Sus scrofa: one gene and its partners. The protein of the gene in region 1 purifies or fractionates together with the protein of each later gene. This does not show direct contact. Links are inferred from orthologs where the notes say so. Each region holds a gene or a part of one and is shown in the gene's direction. Other genes may lie near its edges.

Region 1 (5,473 bases):
TCCCTGGCTTTACACATTGGGCAGGTGGGGCTGGTCCACCAGTGAGTTCCTTTGGGGTCAGGAGGGTTCCTGGGGTCTGACATTCTGACCCTCTTGGCTCTCTCTTTCTCTAGGTAGCCCAGCAGCAGTGAAGATCCAGATGGATGATACCACGTCCACCGCTGAGCAGTGACCTTCCTCACTTTCCCTTGCCCAGCTTCTCCCCTGGGGGCCTGAGAGACCCTCTCCTCCCTTCTGCCCCATCTTCCAAGCTGTAGAGGAACAGCCCCCAGTGCACTGGGGGAGGGGAGGGAGTGAGGGGCAGTGGTGCCCTTCCTGCTGGAGAGACATGCAGCAGTAGCGCCGGCGCCATCTGCAGGGAGCTGGCGGGCTGGCCTTTTGGGCCCTGGCTTCTCCCCACTGTAACGTCTGTTACACACAAACTGTTGTGGGTTCCCGCCAGGCTTGAAGAAAATGATCTGAATTTCTTCCTCCTTTTGGTTTTATTTTGTTGGTTTATTTTGTGTTTTCATTTCTCCTTTTTGGGGGGTATTCACAGTGGGCCGGGCCCCTGGGCGAGACACAGCTACCTCTGTTGGCATCTTTTTAATACCAGGAACCCAGCGGCTCCAGCCCCTGAGCGGCTAGAATGAAATAAAGTTGGAAAAAAAAAAAAAAAAAAAAAGGAAAAGAACCAAAAGCATAAAAAACCACAGCAAATTTCTTGACAAAAATTGAAAATAAAAGTTTCCTTGTATTTTAGTGCTCTGGTTCAGTGTGGGTGTAGGTGCAGGTGGGTGTGTCCGACGGGAGCCTTGGGACAGTGCAGCTGAAGACCAAGGGTTTCCTTGTGTCCTGAGACTCCACGAAATCTGGACTGTGCACCTACCCTCGTGCTCCGGCCGCCACCACCTGCACGCTGCGAGGAGCTCCGGAGCCCCCTGGGTTCACAGCCTAAGCCTGACTCCCAGCTTCGCGGCCGTCTCCAGGCTGTAGATGTCTGCTGTAGAGAATCAAAGGAGAATCTTCCTCGCAACATTGCGAAGACAAACCAGCGAAGTGCCGGAGCAGTTTTGAACAGCTGCTAAGCACCACCTTAGGGTTTATTTCAAGAAAGGCTGCTCTGGGTTTTCTGTTTGTGTGAAGTGAGAACACAAGATGCCGTCCTCCCGACCTCTCGTATGGGAACCAAGGCAGAGAGTTCCCTTACCTGAGGGGCAGCGCGGGGTATGGTGTCAAGGAAGAAGGTTTCAAAGTCACAGGACTTGGGAGTGGGTGCGACCTTGAGACGTGGGGCGAAAGAGGGTCCGGCTCTGACGCCTCCGTCCGAAGGGAGGGGCCGTCTTTTGGGTACCAGTTTTTCGGACGAAATCCGCCATAAGGCGTAAGGCCCACATCTGGAGGGAAGGGCGGGGAAGCTAAAGGCGTCCCCCTACGCGCCGCCTTCTCCACCTGGGAGAGAGCAGAGCGGTCCTCCCCGGCCGCCCTCTGCACCGCCTGCCCCGCGCGGCCGCGCGAATGAAACTTCCGGCTTCCGCGGCGGACGGGAAGCCCGGAAGAGGCGGGGCCTCAGCGGGCGCGCTGTGCGCTTGCGCGAGACGTTCCCGTGGTGTGGCGTCGGAGCGCCAGCCCCGCACCACACGTGGAGTGCTGTCGCTGCTTCCTAGGGCCTTCTCGGGACTGGACCCGCTTCCAGGTGAGCTGCAGCTTCGGGCGGGTCTTCTGCAGGAAGTCGAGGAAGGAAGGGTGAGGCGTCCACTTGGACCGGGGCGTGGGAAGGGGACGTTGTACCAGCGGTGTGGGACCCAGGGCCCGGGGCTCAGCGTGTAGTGGAGGTGTGGCCAGGCCTCGAGGGGCAGTGGGGCTGCTGAGTCGAGGTTCTCGTCAAGGCAGTGCCCTTTTCCACTTCAACTTGCTTCGTCTGCTCTCTGCCTTTCCCGGACAACACGCGCCACTCTACTGTCTCTCGTTTTTGTTTTCCTCAGTACCATGGGGCGCAAATTGGACCCTACGAAGGAGAAACGCGGGCCGGGCCGAAAGGCCCGAAAGCAGAAAGGTGCTGAGACCGAACTCGTCAGATTCTTGCCTGCAGGTAAGGGTCAGGCGTGCCCGTCCCCTTCCGATTCTCTAGCTTTTGCGCCGTTCTTCCATCTGTAGTGTAATCCCTCAGTTTTTTAGATTGTGTGTTCATGAGTTATTAGGAAGTAAATATGAATGGAACAATCTCATAAACGTTTAGAAATTAGGGAAGATGTGACGGGCACAAGTTCCCATGCAAGGAGATGTGTGGTTTAATGTTTAGGGCCTTCAGAGGAAGCAGGATTCCACGGAGTTGCCAAGTTTGAAAAGATTTTGTGACTTTTTTTTTTTTTTTTTGGCCGTCTCGGCAGCATGTGGAAGTTCCCAGGCCAGGGAGCGAATCCAAACTGGAGCTGTGACCTACCATACTGATCGTTAAGCGACTGCACCACAGCAGGAACTTCCAAGAAGTTGGGTTTTGCACTAAGCTCTTCTTAGATGACCTGCTTCTGTGTGGGGGTTTCATAGGTAGCCATGCAGCTCCCTTGGTGTGATCTATTGAAAATCAGCCCTGGACACAAAAGATTGTAAGACAAAAAAAGAAGAGAAGGAGAAAAAAGAAGTTGGGTTTTGAGAAGTGGGTGACATTTTAGCAGGTGGAAGTTGGGAACGGGACAGTCCAGTCACTGTGAACTGCATTGTAGAGGAGATGGGAAGGCACAGAGCTGGCTCCCACTTGGTCAGGAGTCTACTGCAGGTAGTTTGTGTTGAGTATTGTCTAAAAGATGCAGTTTATTGAAGTATAGGTAAGTGGTAAATACAATGCTGAACCCGCTGGACACATTATATCACTTCATTCTCTGTGTCCTGTGAGAGAGGCACTGCCGAGGAAATGGATGCTGAGAGGTTAATTTGTATAGTTATAAAATGATAGTGCTTTATGGAGTTCCAGTCTTGGTGCAGTGGAAATGAATCCGACTGGGAACCATGAGATTGCGGGTTCGATCCCTGGCCTTGCTCAGTGGGTTAAGGATCCGGTGCTGCCCTAAGCTGTGGTGTAGTTTGCAGACATGGCTAGGATCTGGCGTTGCTGTGGCTGTGGTGTAGGCTGGCAGCAACAGCTCTGATTGGACCCCTAGCCTGGGAACCTCCATAAGCCGCCTCCGGTGCAGCCCTAAAAAAAGGACAAAAGGAAAAAAAAAAAAAATAGGAGGGCTTTAAACTTTCTATTTCTTGGAGAATATAGGAAAAGCAGTAGTTTTGAAATCTGTGGTTGGCAACTGATTAGATAAAAGAAAGGGCAGAAGAAAGATTTGAAAGTTTCAGAATGGCGATGATGCTATTTTTTGAAATCAGTCTGGAGGGAGGCCCAGTTTGGATTTGGTTGATGAGCAGCCAGATGGCGATCAGCTCCTTTACATCTCTTTACCCGGCTCCCTGTAGAGCACAGTGGAGTGAGTTACAATCTCTTCCCTTTAACTACTGTCCTAATTCTCTGCCCTTTTATTTTCTCTCCTGCTTTTTATTTTCTCATAACCTCCTCTCTTCCTTTTTTTGATTTTTTAAACAGCTGGTGATGAAAATTCCAAGAGGCTGTCCAGTCGTGCTCGAAAGAGGTGAGTGTAGGAGTCCTGTCGTGGTTCAGTGGAAACGAATCCTACTAGCATCCTTAAGGATGCAGGTTCAATCCTTGGACTCGCTCAGTGGGTTAAGGATCCAGTGTTGCCATGAGCTGTGGCATAGGTTGCAGACGAGGCTCGGATCTGGCGTGGCTGTGGCTGTGGTGTATGCCGGTGGCTACAGCCATGTGCCTCAGGTGCGGCCCTAAAAAGACCAAAAAAAAAAAAAAAAAAAAAAAGGAAAGAAAGAGGTGAGTGTGAATGTCCACATTTATGTTACACAGGCAGATTAAATTGGTCCTGCTCATCTTTGGGCACATGATCCCATGTGACCCTGCTGATGGAAAGGGCTCTTTGGGGACTGTCATGGTTCCCTGCAGTGGGAAGTGGCAGAGCCTGGAGGGGTATTCCATTTCCTTACTCCTTATGTCTTTTCAGGGCAGCCAAGAGGAGGTTGGGCTCTGCTGAAGTCCGTGAGACAAATAAATCCCCTGGGGCCAGACCATTGCCTGGAAAGCTACCAAAAGGTCAGTGAAAATAGGAGCTGGGTGCTATGTGAGGAGTACACTGGGTCCTGGGTAGGGAAGAGCTTGCTGATCATTTCTGGAGTGAAAGGAACAGCCAAAGGACATTTGTGGGGGTAGAGAGTACAGGCCTCATTAATGTGTGACTGCTCTCAGCCCGGTATTCAAACCCTTTGGGATCTCTGCAGGAGCCGTCCAGACACCGAGTAAGAAGGGAGCCCTGTCCTTATTTAATGCTGCTCAAGGCAAGAAGCGCCCAGCATCAGCCTATAGCAGTGAGGAGGAGGGAGAGGAGGAAGACTCTGAAGAGGGTGGTGTGGTGAACGAGGGGGACCTCTGGGGCTCTGAGGACAGTGATGCCGATATGGTAGATGACTATGGAGCCAACTCCAGTTCAGAGGACGAAGAAGAGGATGACAGTGAAGAGGTGAGCTCTGTCTCTCTGGGTCTCCAGGAAGCGATCTTTGCCTTTTTGAGTCTTTCCAGATCGTTGAGACTGACTGTCCCTTGGTGACGAGGATAAGCCTGTGTAGAGGACAAGGATTTTATTTGGTATCTGTGAACCTCAAAAAGATTTTTTCTTTGGGGAGTTGCCGTTGTGGCTCAGTGGTTAACTAATCCGACTAGGAACCAGAGGTTGCGGGTTCGATCCCTGGCCTTGCTCAGTGGGTTAAGGATCTGATGTTGCCATGAGCTGTGGTGTAGGTTGCAGACGCGGCTCGGATCCTGTGTTGCTGTGGCTCCGGCGTAGGCCGGCAGCTGTAGCTCTGATTTGACCCCTGGCCTGGGAACCTCCATATGCCGTGGGAACAGCCCAAGAAATGTCAAACAGACAAAAAAAAAAGATTTTTTTCTTTTGACTTGGTGATTCTGTCCTAGGAAGAGGATCCAAAACGTAGACAACGATTTATTTACTGAAGTAGGAGAAGTTATTATGTACTGTACAGTTAGTATGTGAGTGTGTAATTAGGAAAATTGAAGCAATTTCTTTGTATGGAATACAAAGAAAGTCCCCACTTGCACCTTTGTCCCACAACCCCCCCCTTTACAGAGCTACTATTTTGAGACTTAGAGGCACCATGTGGACCATAACGCCAAAACTCTGGAAACTTCCAAATGCCCAATATGCTTAAGTTAATTGTGGTTTATTCGTATGCTAATTAACAGTTGGCCGTTATGTTTGTGAAAATGCTTGTGATCTAACTATGAAAAAAGTCAAGAAACACTCTTGAAAATGCGTAATGATTTTAACTGCGTGAGAAACGTGGAGTAGGTCTGGAGGAGGATATGGCAAAGTGGGTATCCAAGGGCAATTTTTGTCCCCCACACCTG
Region 2 (5,565 bases), on another chromosome or scaffold:
TCTGGCGATTGGAGCTGATCTCCTCAGCCTCTTTCACAAAATTCCTAGTAACAATCAGGAGAACGTTAGTGGTTCTGCATCCACCTTAACTGCAATTACCGAGCATTTACTATGAACTGGGCACTGGGCTGGATGATTTTTCTGATTTAATCTTCATACCACACCCATGAAGTTAAATACTTTTATCCTTGACGAAATTTTAACCCAAGACTTTAAGCAAGTTGTCCAAGATCACACAACTAATAAATGATAAAAAAAGGTTTGAACCCAGATCTGTCACTGAACAAGCTGTAACAAGGTAGTCTTTAGTTTCCTCATTGGTAAAATAGTAATAAGACCCACCTCATAAGGATGTGAGGATTAAATTAGATCATGTATATAAAACATTTAATGCAGAACCCAACACAGAGTAAATGTTCCTCTAATAATAGCTGCTCTTTTTTTTTTTTCCTTTTTTGTCTTTTTAGAGCCGCACCCACAGTACATGGAGGTTCCCAGAGTAGGGGTTCAATTGGAGTTGCAGCCACTGGCCTACACCACAGCCACAGCAACACCAGATCTGAGCCACGTCTGCGACCTACACCACAGCTCATGGCAACACTGGATCCTTAACCCACTGAGGGAGGCGAGGGATCAAACCTGCGTCCTCATGGATGCTAGTCAGATTCATTTCTACTGAGCCACAATGGCACCTCCAATGACAGCTATTCTTCTTTTCATAATGCCTGCCTAACCTAGAAACTACAACCTTAACCCCAAGTTCCCTCAGCCTCTTAATCTTCTCCTATGCCACTGTCCATCCTTAGTTCCTGCTGCAGTCTCCATTTCTTCCCCATAACTGTAAAGTCCTGCTTTATGAAGCTCCCTGTCTTTTGTAGGGTATTGGAAGAGTACAGAAGCCATGGTCAAATGTGCAAAGACAAAGAAAACTTGAAACTTTTATCATGTGAGGTTGGAAAGCAGAATTTGTGGATTGAGGTTCGAGAGAGGCAGAATATGGCTCGAGGAGATCCTGTCGTGGAGCAGTGGAAAGGAATTCGACTGGTATCCACGAGGACACATGTTTGATCCCTGGCCTCACTCAGTGGGTTGGGGATCCAGAAATGCCGTGATCTGTGGTGTAGGTCGCAGATACAGCTTGGATCTTGCAATGCTGTGGCATAGGCTGGCAGCTGTTATCTCCAATTCGACCCCTAGCCTGGGAACTTCCATATGCTGTGGGTTCAGCCTTAAAAAGGGAGGGGAAAAAAAAAAGAATATGGTTCCGATAGGACGGTTTGTTTGGATTTTTTGGATAATTTTTACTGCCCCCGAATGAGAGGATTTCCTTGGCATTCTCCTATCAATGAAAGTTTTGGAGCCAACGACCCTGGTCCAAGCTACTGTGTGTACCTGTGTGTTGTGTGTATATGTATGAAGGTGACAACTGTAGAGTGTTAATTATGTCAGATCCAATGATAAGTGCTTTGCATGGATTCTCTACTTAGCGCTCACGACAGCCCTACGAGGCTGCTGGGTTCCAATTTTGACTTCGAGACTTACTAGCTGTGCCTTGTGTCAGTCACTAACCTCTGTGTCTCGACTTCCTCATATACAAAATGGGAATAATACCTACCTCGAAGGCTGCTGTGACGTTTAAATGGATTAATAAAATGCTCAGATGAGAGCGTGGCACCTGGTAAGCGCTATCTAAGTGTTAGCTATTTCCCTCATCGTAAATATTAGCTGTCACAGCTCTTAAAAGCCCCTTAAACGCTGGGCCCGCCGCACCTGCAGCTCTGCTGGAAGCTGGGCAAGCGGTCGAGCAGGCGGCCGAGCGACTCCTCCACGTCGCCAAAGAGGCGATGTATGCGCTCGGTGCACTCGGCGCCGCGGATGAAGGTCTTGTAGTTGGCGAAGGCCAAGTCGCGCGTCTGCTGCAGCAGCTGCGCTCGCTCCTCCGCCAGGCGCTCTGGCTCGCGCCGCAGCCGATCCAGCCCCGAGCCGCTCAACTCCCTGAGGTAGCGGCCCACGTCGGGCCGCTCCCGCCACTGGGCCTCTGGGAAGCGGTCCCGGAACAGCGATGCCAGGAGCCCTTCATCCTCCACCTCCCCGAGAGCAGCCGCAGTGGCCGTCGCCGTGGCCGAGGCCGCAGTTGAAGCAGGGATCGTCTCCGTCGCCGCCATCTTCTCAGCAGCGGCGTCCCTTCGCCTCCCGCTCGGCGAGGGCGCTGGCTCGGAATCCAGGACCGGAAGCAACGCCGCACTTCCGGTCTCCATGGCGCCTCACCCGGCCGGCTTGCATTCCCCGCTGGTCCTCCAAGGCCGCGGGGCGCTCGCGTGACGAACCACGCGAAGGCAGCTAGAGAGGCCGGATTTGAGGTTGCCAAGGAGAGGCGGGAGGCTGGCCTTCCGTTTCCGGCGACTGAGGCACGAGGATCCGGTGTTCCAGCCCAGCGGGAAAATGCGGCCTCTGACTGAAGAGGAGACGCGTGTAATGTTTGAGAAGATAGCAAAATAGTAAGAACGCCCGGGGCAGATGAGGGAGTGCGTGCATGGCGGGGAGGGCTGTGGGTAGAGCGGGGCCGCGGGGCCGGGACGAGTCCGGGCGCAGCCTCCAGCCTCTTTTCTGCTTTCAGCATCGGGGAGAATCTTCAGCTGCTGGTTGACAGGCCCGACGGCACCTACTGTTTCAGGCTGCACAACGACCGGGTTTACTATGTGAGGTGAGGCGGGGCTGGGTAGGCAGCATGGACCCGGGTGGAGGCCTGGGTCCCACCAGCCTCCCTTATCTGACACCTCCTTCTTCCTTACCCTTTCAGTGAAAAGATCTTAAAATTGGCCGCTAATATCTCTGGTGACAAGCTGATGTCGCTGGGAACGTGCTTTGGAAAATTCACGAAGACCCACAAGTTTCGGTTGCACATCACAGCTCTGGATTACTTAGCACCTTATGCCAAGGTTTGTGGGGAGTGGTTTTCAGCCCGCTTCTAGGGATGGGGGCGGTCTAGGCTGAGGGCCACATCAGACTGCAGATAATTGGGCACCTGCGTTAGTCCCTGAGGGTGCCTAGGATCAGTGCCAGCACCTGGAGATGTTCCTACTTAGATCTTGCTGCTTGGGCGTGGTTGGGGCTGCGTAGTGATTGGAGTAGTATCTCCAGCAAAGTAGAAAAGCCTTTTCTGATCTAGTTCAAGAGGAAAAAGTAAATAGGAGGCTGCGGTGAGGAGCATAGTGGGATCCAGAAAAAGCCGTTAAACTGCCCGTGGGAAAGGTCGATTGTAGAGTTGAAGGAACCTCCTAGCAGTTCTGAACAGTTTGAGGGAAGCATGCCTTTTTCTTTCTTTTCCTTGAAATTTGTATTATGAGATAAAGGAAGTACAGGGATGAAATAAACAGCATGGGGGAGTTCCTGTTGTGGCTCAGCGGTTAAGGAACCCGACCAGTATCCATGAGGATGCACGTTCTATCCCTGGGCTCAGTGGGTTAAGGATTGGACCTTGTGGTGAGCTGTGGTGTAGGTTGCAGAGGCAGCTCAGATCTGACGTTGCTGAGGCAGCTGCAGCTGCAATTTGGCCCCTAGCCTGGATACTTCCATATGCTACGGGTGTGGCCCTAAGAAGACAAAAAAAAGAAAAGAAAAAAAACTTTGTTCATAAAGAAAGAAAAAAATTAACCATAGATTCAGCAGCTAGCTTGTCTGCAGGCATCTAACTATTTTTATTATGTCTCTTGGATGTAATTCTTTGTATTGTAGTATAAAGTGTGGATAAAGCCTGGAGCAGAGCAGTCCTTCCTGTATGGGAACCATGTGCTGAAATCTGGACTTGGTCGAATCACTGAAAATACTTCACAGTACCAGGGAGTTGTGGTGTACTCCATGGCAGACATCCCTTTGGTGAGTACATGTGGTAGCTGTTAAAAAATCAAGTATCTTTTTGTTTAAGAAGGATGTATTTTCAATCTTCACTTGAGAGACTAAGATCTCAGCACCTTTTGAAGTCCTCAAAGAACTATATTTTTTTCATCTGTGTTATTTCCAAATCTTAATGCGTGCTCATCGAATGACTTGAGTGAATCAGTGTCTCTTCTTTTGAATCCCAGGGTTTTGGGGTGGCAGCAAAGTCTACACAAGACTGCAGGAAAGTAGACCCCATGGCGATTGTGGTATTTCATCAAGCAGACATTGGGGAATATGTGCGGCATGAAGAGACATTGACTTAAAACGAAGTCATCGAGAGGACTTAAGGCTGTGTGGAAGGGCCTAGCTTTTCCTGTGTCTGTGTAGGCTCCACCGTCATGGTGAATTTTGTCAACACTGACCTCTTCAGGGACTTCTTAGTTTAACATTCTATCATGGACAAATCCAGGCTGGATTCTTATTATGCAGAAGTGGCTCAAAAATGGAGTTTCGGATCTTTGTGATTGTGACTCAATAGAAATCTGTGTTTTATGTTTGAATCAGAGGGCTTCTTGTTTTGAGTAACAGGTTCTAAATTGTTGGACCCGAGGACAAGAATAGCGTACTTTTGTTATCTATGATAACACTGTTATCCAAACACAAACATAATGGATTTCCTTAATAATTTATTAACACTGTGAAAGATAGATATTGCCATATCAGAATAGTAGACTGTGGGGATTTTACAAATGAAATTTGGATAAAATAGTAAGAGCAGTGTATTCTGTTGCTTTTCTTTATGGTAGGTGCTGTGTGGTATGGAAGAAAAACTTGGATTCAAACACTGCTTCTGACACTTACTAGCTGTATGGCTTTAGATGAGTCGTTAAACTTTAATAAGATTCATTTCCTTCTTTTGTTTTAAAAAAACAGAACTGTCTTTCTAAGCATGGTTTTTAGAATTAGAAATCATGATTGTAAAGTACCTAGTACAGTGCCTGGCAAAACTGAATAAATGGTAAGAATTATTTTTATAATGCTTATACTGAATATTTCTGTTATTAAGAGTAGCATCGTATGACTATAATTTGATATGTTATCCTGGCTTTTACAGGTGGTTTTCTCGATTTTTCTTTTTCTTGAATGGTGTGATTCCAGGCCAAATGTTACTTTTTATCACCTTCGTTTCCTAAAACAACTTCTCTTTTAAGTGTTTTGTTTTAATTGAAATTTTTTATTGAAGTGTAGTTGATTTACAGTAGTTTGTTAGTTTTCAGGTGTACAGCAAAGTGATTTGGGTATATGTATATACACACCCATATATATATCCTTATAAATACTTGACTAGATAAAAAGCACTAATCAGAGACCCTGACATAATTCAGCTCCTCCATTCTTCCCCCATGCCTTCCAAAATTAATTTTAGAATTATTAAAATATTTTTTAATGAAAAACATTAAGACAAAAGCTTTTAAACTACCTGTATTGTAAATGAATTTTTAAGTTAACATATTGCTTACTTTAAATTCTAAAGGTGACATCTCTTAAAAATAAAGCTTTTTTTTTTTTTTGGAGTTCCCATTGTGGTGCAGCGGAAGTGAATCCAACTAGGAACCATGAGGTTGTGGGTTTGATCCCTGGCCTTGCGCAGTGAGTTAAGAATCTAGCGTTGCTGTGAGCTGTGCT
Region 3 (5,565 bases), on another chromosome or scaffold:
TTTATGTATACACACACACACAAACACACACACACACCGTTTTAGTATATTCATGTGTATCTGCACATCCCTGTAGGCTTTCTTGTTCTTAACACTGCACAGTCTTGCCTAACATAAAGATGATACAAGTGCAAGCTGGATACCACCACATACCTACATGCCTAAGGTATTTTTTAAAGCCCCAAATCCCAGTCTTACTAGCTTTGCTCGAATATAACAGCCAATATTAATCCCTTTTTAATTTAGAAAAGTCTACTTATTAGGCTTATCCTTTCAAGCAATCATGTGTTGAACTCCTAGCATGTACCTAGCAGTAGGCCCAGCAAAGGTAAGTAAAAATCAGTCTCTGGTTATCAAGGAAATTAAAATTGACTTGGATTATTTAAAAAAAAACACTTGAGCATAAAACAAAGTTCAATTATGAGCTAATCTATATGATTCAAACCAAACAGTACTGCATCCAGTGAGAATTCATACCATTCAACACCTATTGATACCTGCTCTTTTTTTTCCTAACTCAGAAGATTGACAGAGGAGCTGAATTCCACATTATTGTACTTCCTATTTAAGGCTTAATCATGTCATATTGTACATTTCTCTTAACTTCCTTTCTTCCTCACTGTTCCATAAGGTCTCAGTAATCTTTGTATCTATTGTCTGGAACATGATAGTCATTCAAATTTTTGTTAAATGAATGAATGAATGAATGAATGAATTAGAAGCTAAGTCGAGCCCAGAGCAGCCCTTTCAAGGTCCTTAATGTTCTCCTATGGCAAATCCCCAAGGCTTTAATATTCAAGGCAGTTACCTAATATGACCTTTGACCTAGCTTTGGCCCCAAAGAGTGATTGGTAAAAAAGAGTTGGTGTTGAATGTTAAGACAAAGGCTCAGAAAAACCGCAGCAAATCTTGAAAATGCTTTTGGAAAAGAGAAAAAATATTATAACCCAATTCCTGGGGCATAAAACATGCTCACTAAATGTTTAAAGAGTGAATAAACAAAGCAGAACTGAGGAAAAACAGTGAGCTCAAGAAGAGACGAAACTCAGGGGGGCAGATGTGATAGATGGGGCTGTAGCTAAAGCCCTCTTGAGCTCACCCTCAACTAAATCTATTCCAAACAGCGATATCTATATTCATGGGTTAATTCTCCAACTAATCCCTTCTTCAGTAATCCAATTAAGATAAAATAAAACCTGTAAACCACACAACCAGCAGTGCCTCCCAAACTTGACCATACTCATCACCTAGCTATCTTGTTAAAAATGAAGGTTCTAAATCTTTACATTTGGGGTGAGGCCAAAGAGTCTACATTTCTAAGGCCCAGGTCACCACACCACACTTTTCAAGTATCAAGAGCCTGTAAAACATTGCAGAGAATATTCATGTAGTCTTAAAGCCAGCGTTAAAATAAATCCTGCTCCCAGCTTCCCTAGTTGTAAAACCTTAGACGTCATTTTACCTCTCTGAGTCTTCTGTTGTCATCAGTGGAATATGATGAATTACAGTAACTAACACTTACTGAATGCTTACTATGTGCCAGTAACTAATGCTTCATATTTATTAACTTATAGGACTTATATTAAACAATCCGTCCAAAGCAGGTACAATAAACATGGATCTTATTCTAGGTCGTTTAATTCAAGAGCCTGGTGTTTAATCACTGTGTAAGATTGCCCTTCCAGCCACAGCTCCTCAAGCCATTACGAAGATTAAACAGTAATTGGTATTTAGCTCACCTTCAGAGCACTGATATCCAGACCCTAGAGTAAGCTCCCTTGGGGGCATATTAACTCATTTATCTTTATAGTGGCCCTAGGAGGTAGGTACTATTAGTACTTTCATCTTACGGGTTTTAAAATAGGGCCAAATAAGTTAAACAGTTGAAGTTCAAACACCAGCGCAGTCAAGATTGTAACCAAGGCGGTCTAACAGAAGAGCCAGTCGCTCTTTAGCCACTAGCCAGGAGAGGATGTGAGAGGATGTAGCCCGGGGCGGGGAAGACCAGGCATCGGGCGGCTGGGATGGGGTCACGGCCGTGCCCACTCAGAGCTGCCTATGGCTTCCAAAGCAAACCAAGTCTTCGTCTACACTTGGCTTTAAGTACATCCGTGGGAAGGACCTCTGTCGGCCCACACCCAGGGCCCCATGGGCTCTGGTGAAATATAATTTATCTGTTCCCAAGAAGAACTGACTTAGTAAGTATCTTGAGAACTGACTTAACTTAGTGTAACACAGTCGCTCCGAGACCCCCTTATTCTGGGGCCCCCAAAATTTTCACTGCCCCTCCCTCCCTCACGCCACTGCCTAGTGGAAGCCCCGGTGCCAGTCAAACCTTGGACTTCGTAGTGCGCGGGTTCCTCGCTCCTGCTCCGCCTACATCCGGGCTGGAGCCCAAGGGCCGTCTCTAACCCCATCTGTTCTCCAACACCGCCCTCTGCCGGCCCTTCTTCGGGTCGCCCGCGTTGTGAGCCTTTTCCGGCTGCTCCGGAAGTGGAGCTTTCTCTTCCGGGACGAGCGTCTGGGCGACTGCACGTGGCTGTGTTGCCTTGGCCTTTGCCGGCGCTACTGGAGAATTGATTGGAACTGTTACCCCGGAACAGCCGGAGCCATGGAGGGCCAGAGCGTGGAGGAGCTGTTGGCAAAGGCGGAGCGGGACGAGGCGGAAAAGCTGCAGCGCATCACCGTGCACAAGGAACTAGAGCTGGAGTTCGACCTGGGTAACCTGCTGGCCTCCGACCGGAACCCCCCGACCGGGCTGCGGCATGCGGGACCCACGAAGGAGGCCGAGCTGCGAGCCCTGGCGCGGGACAACACGCAGCTGCTCATCAACCAGCTCTGGCAGCTGCCCACCGAGCGCGTGGAGGAGACGCTGGTGGCGCGGCTGCCGGAGCCCACCACTCGACTGCCGCGCGAGAAGCCGGTGCCCCGGCCGCGCCCTCTTACACGCTGGCAGCAGTTTGCGCGTCTCAAGGGCATCCGTCCTAAGAAGAAGACCAACCTGGTGTGGGACGAGGTAAGCGGCCAGTGGCGCCGCCGCTGGGGCTACCAACGGGCCCGCGATGATACCAAGGAATGGTTGATTGAGGTGCCGAGCAATGCCGACCCCATGGAGGACCAGTTCGCCAAGCGTATTCAGGCCAAGAAGGAACGGGTAGCCAAGAACGAGCTGAACCGGCTGCGTAACCTGGCCCGCGCGCACAAGATGCAGCTGCCCAGCGCGGCCGGCATGCACCCTACCGGACATCAGAGTAAGGAAGAGCTGGGCCGCGCCATGCAGGTGGCCAAGGTCTCCACCGCCTCTGTAGGGCGCTTCCAGGAGCGCCTGCCCAAGGAGAAGGCGCCCCGGGGCTCTGGCAAGAAAAGGAAGTTTCAACCCCTTTTTGGGGACTTTGCAGCTGAGAAGAAGAGCCAGTTGGAGATGTTGCGAGTAATGAACAGCAAAAAGCCTCAGCTGGACGTGACCAGAGCCACCAATAAGCAGATGAGGGAGGAGGACCAGGAAGAAGCGGCTAAGAGGAGGAAAATGAGCCAGAAGGGCAAAAGAAAGGGAGGCCGACAGGGTCCTGGGGGTAAGAGGAAAGGTGGCCCACCCAGCCAGGGAGGGAAGAGGAAAGGGGGCGTGGGAAGCAAGATGAATTCCGGGCCGCCGGGCTTGGGTGGCAAGAGAAAAGGAGGGCAACACCAAGGAGGAAAGAGGAGGAAGTAAATTTCAGCCTCGGACTTGTTTGTAAACCAAGAACTGTACTTAATGTTGACATCTAGGCACTGTAGGGGGACACCAAAGATGTGGCCCCTGCCTTCACTGAGCTTGAAGTTAAAGGGACAGCCTTGCCCTCCTCTGAAAATAGTATGTAAATATTGCACAGGACAAATTAATGTTATTTCCCACAACCAAAACTTTGGCTGAAGATTAAAGGATGTATTTAAGGCTATACGAATTAGGGAAAGAATTTGGTCGAAATTAGGAGTGAGTTCTGTTTTTAAACAGACTTTTTTTTTCCTTGTAAACTTTGTATGTGGTGTGAGGGAGGTCATATTTCAAAGACTTTTAGCATTGTTTTGATAACAAGCTTCTGTATTTATCAAAGTGGGGGAACAAAAAGATTACAAGGTTACATTTTCAGAACTGTTGTAAAGGCCATTTAATAAAGGTATGTCTGGATCTAATATTGCTTTCAAATTTTGTAAGTTTTAAGTAAAGCCAGTGACCTGGATACGTGTTACAGATTATTTTCATTTACTTTCTAGAAGATATCCACCAGCTAACTTATGACGTTAGCAAGACCGCTTTATTAGGAAAACTCATGCTCCTTTTGATACCTGATATATTATTGAAAGTGTACAACTGGTGTCTCTTTGAACACTGAAAACATTAATTTGCTCTAGCTGATAAATTTGTGCTTCACTAAATAATGCAATCTTAATTAATCCTAATTTTATACTTAAATTTTTATCAACATTTATGTCTCCAGTTCTTTTAAAGCTTCAAGTGGGATCTGTTTGGGGAAGAGAGAAACCCACAAAAACCTTGGAACATTATTATCTTTAGATTCATTTGTCACATTGACTTGAGCTGGTTTAATTAGGAGATGAAATGTTTACAGCTATCCTGGGTTTCTTTCCTTAATTGATTTCAGTAACTCACCTTCCTAAATATCTCCTGAAAATTAACAGTAAATCTAGAATGGGGGGAGGGGGCTTTTTTCTGCTGTTAGAGCTCTAGGGAGCCACTCTACTCTTGGTTTTTGGTCTGACAATTGATAGGAAATTAGAATTGGGAGTTCGTTTTGTCTTTTTTTCAGTGTTGTTCCCTTTTTACAAAGTTGTAGAAATTGCTATGAAAGAAAGGATTAATTCAGATTTCATAATGGGTTAATAAAAATATGTTCAATTGTTACTGTCTTAAGATAACTTTCTGATAAAGAGCTGTGCCATCGATAGTGTTTCTGCTAGGACAGGGGGCAGAAGGCAACATAGCATTTTAAAGGAGTCAGAGTGGAAAAGAATGCTCTTTCTCCACATTTCCCAGGTCTCCGACTAGTGACAAAGAGGATTTACACAGAGACTTGGGGAAGTATCCTAAACAGTTACCTGCATGGCAATTTCAAAGGCGGAGGGTGAGACCCTGCAGCTGGAGCAGTCGTAGTTCCGCCTCGTGGGAGAATGGCCTGGAGCCGGAGGGCTGCTGTGGGGGGCGCGAGACCCAGCGGAGCGGGTGGGCGGGCGCGGCCGAGGGGGCGGAGGGGAAGCCAGCGGCACGGATTGGCCGGCGGTGGGGGCGGGGCCCCGAGGAGGGAAACGGTGCAGCCATGGCCGCTGCCGCTCGCGCCCGGGTAGCACACTTGCTGAGGCAACTGCAGCGCGCAGCGTGAGTACGGGGTCGGCAGGCGGGCAGGGGACAGCGCATTCTTCCCGCAGTCATTTTCAGGAACTTTGGATCGCGTTGCCGCAGTGCGCGCCCGCGGCGAGCCAGCCTAGACAGCTCCGTCCCTGTGCCAAGCAGCCAGCGCTGCGCGGTGAGGCCGCTTGTACTCTGCCAGTTCTACGTTAGGGAAAGTAAGC

Evidence for each region.
Region 2: the proteins of NOP2 (region 1) and NIP7 purify together in Homo sapiens (affinity purification with mass spectrometry; 3 studies listed by BioGRID and IntAct, with this or other methods). This does not show direct contact. The link is inferred for Sus scrofa from reciprocal best matches to the Homo sapiens genes NOP2 and NIP7.
Region 3: the proteins of NOP2 (region 1) and RRS1 fractionate together in Homo sapiens (co-fractionation; 3 studies listed by BioGRID and IntAct, with this or other methods). This does not show direct contact. The link is inferred for Sus scrofa from reciprocal best matches to the Homo sapiens genes NOP2 and RRS1.

What each region holds. Positions count from the first base shown.
Region 1 is NC_010447.5:64,104,534-64,110,006, forward strand, and holds the start of NOP2 (probable 28S rRNA (cytosine(4447)-C(5))-methyltransferase), read left to right. Parts: upstream 1-1,675; intron 1,676-1,964; coding exon of another isoform or gene 1,965-1,968; coding exon 1,969-2,071; intron 2,072-3,568; coding exon 3,569-3,614; intron 3,615-4,055; coding exon 4,056-4,144; intron 4,145-4,329; coding exon 4,330-4,568; intron 4,569-5,473. Other genes in the region: CHD4 (chromodomain-helicase-DNA-binding protein 4), read left to right, coding at 114-131. UniProt on the Homo sapiens protein: S-adenosyl-L-methionine-dependent methyltransferase that specifically methylates the C(5) position of cytosine 4447 in 28S rRNA. Required for efficient rRNA processing and 60S ribosomal subunit biogenesis.
Region 2 is NC_010448.4:17,642,245-17,647,809, reverse strand, and holds the start of NIP7 (60S ribosome subunit biogenesis protein NIP7 homolog), read left to right. Parts: upstream 1-2,405; 5' UTR 2,406-2,442; coding exon 2,443-2,498; intron 2,499-2,617; coding exon 2,618-2,704; intron 2,705-2,800; coding exon 2,801-2,939; intron 2,940-3,735; coding exon 3,736-3,876; intron 3,877-4,082; coding exon 4,083-4,202; 3' UTR 4,203-5,565.
Region 3 is NC_010446.5:68,285,135-68,290,699, reverse strand, and holds RRS1 (ribosome biogenesis regulatory protein homolog), read left to right. Parts: upstream 1-2,486; 5' UTR 2,487-2,611; coding exon 2,612-3,709; 3' UTR 3,710-4,897; downstream 4,898-5,565. Other genes in the region: ADHFE1 (hydroxyacid-oxoacid transhydrogenase, mitochondrial), read left to right, coding at 5,313-5,371. UniProt on the Homo sapiens protein: Involved in ribosomal large subunit assembly. May regulate the localization of the 5S RNP/5S ribonucleoprotein particle to the nucleolus.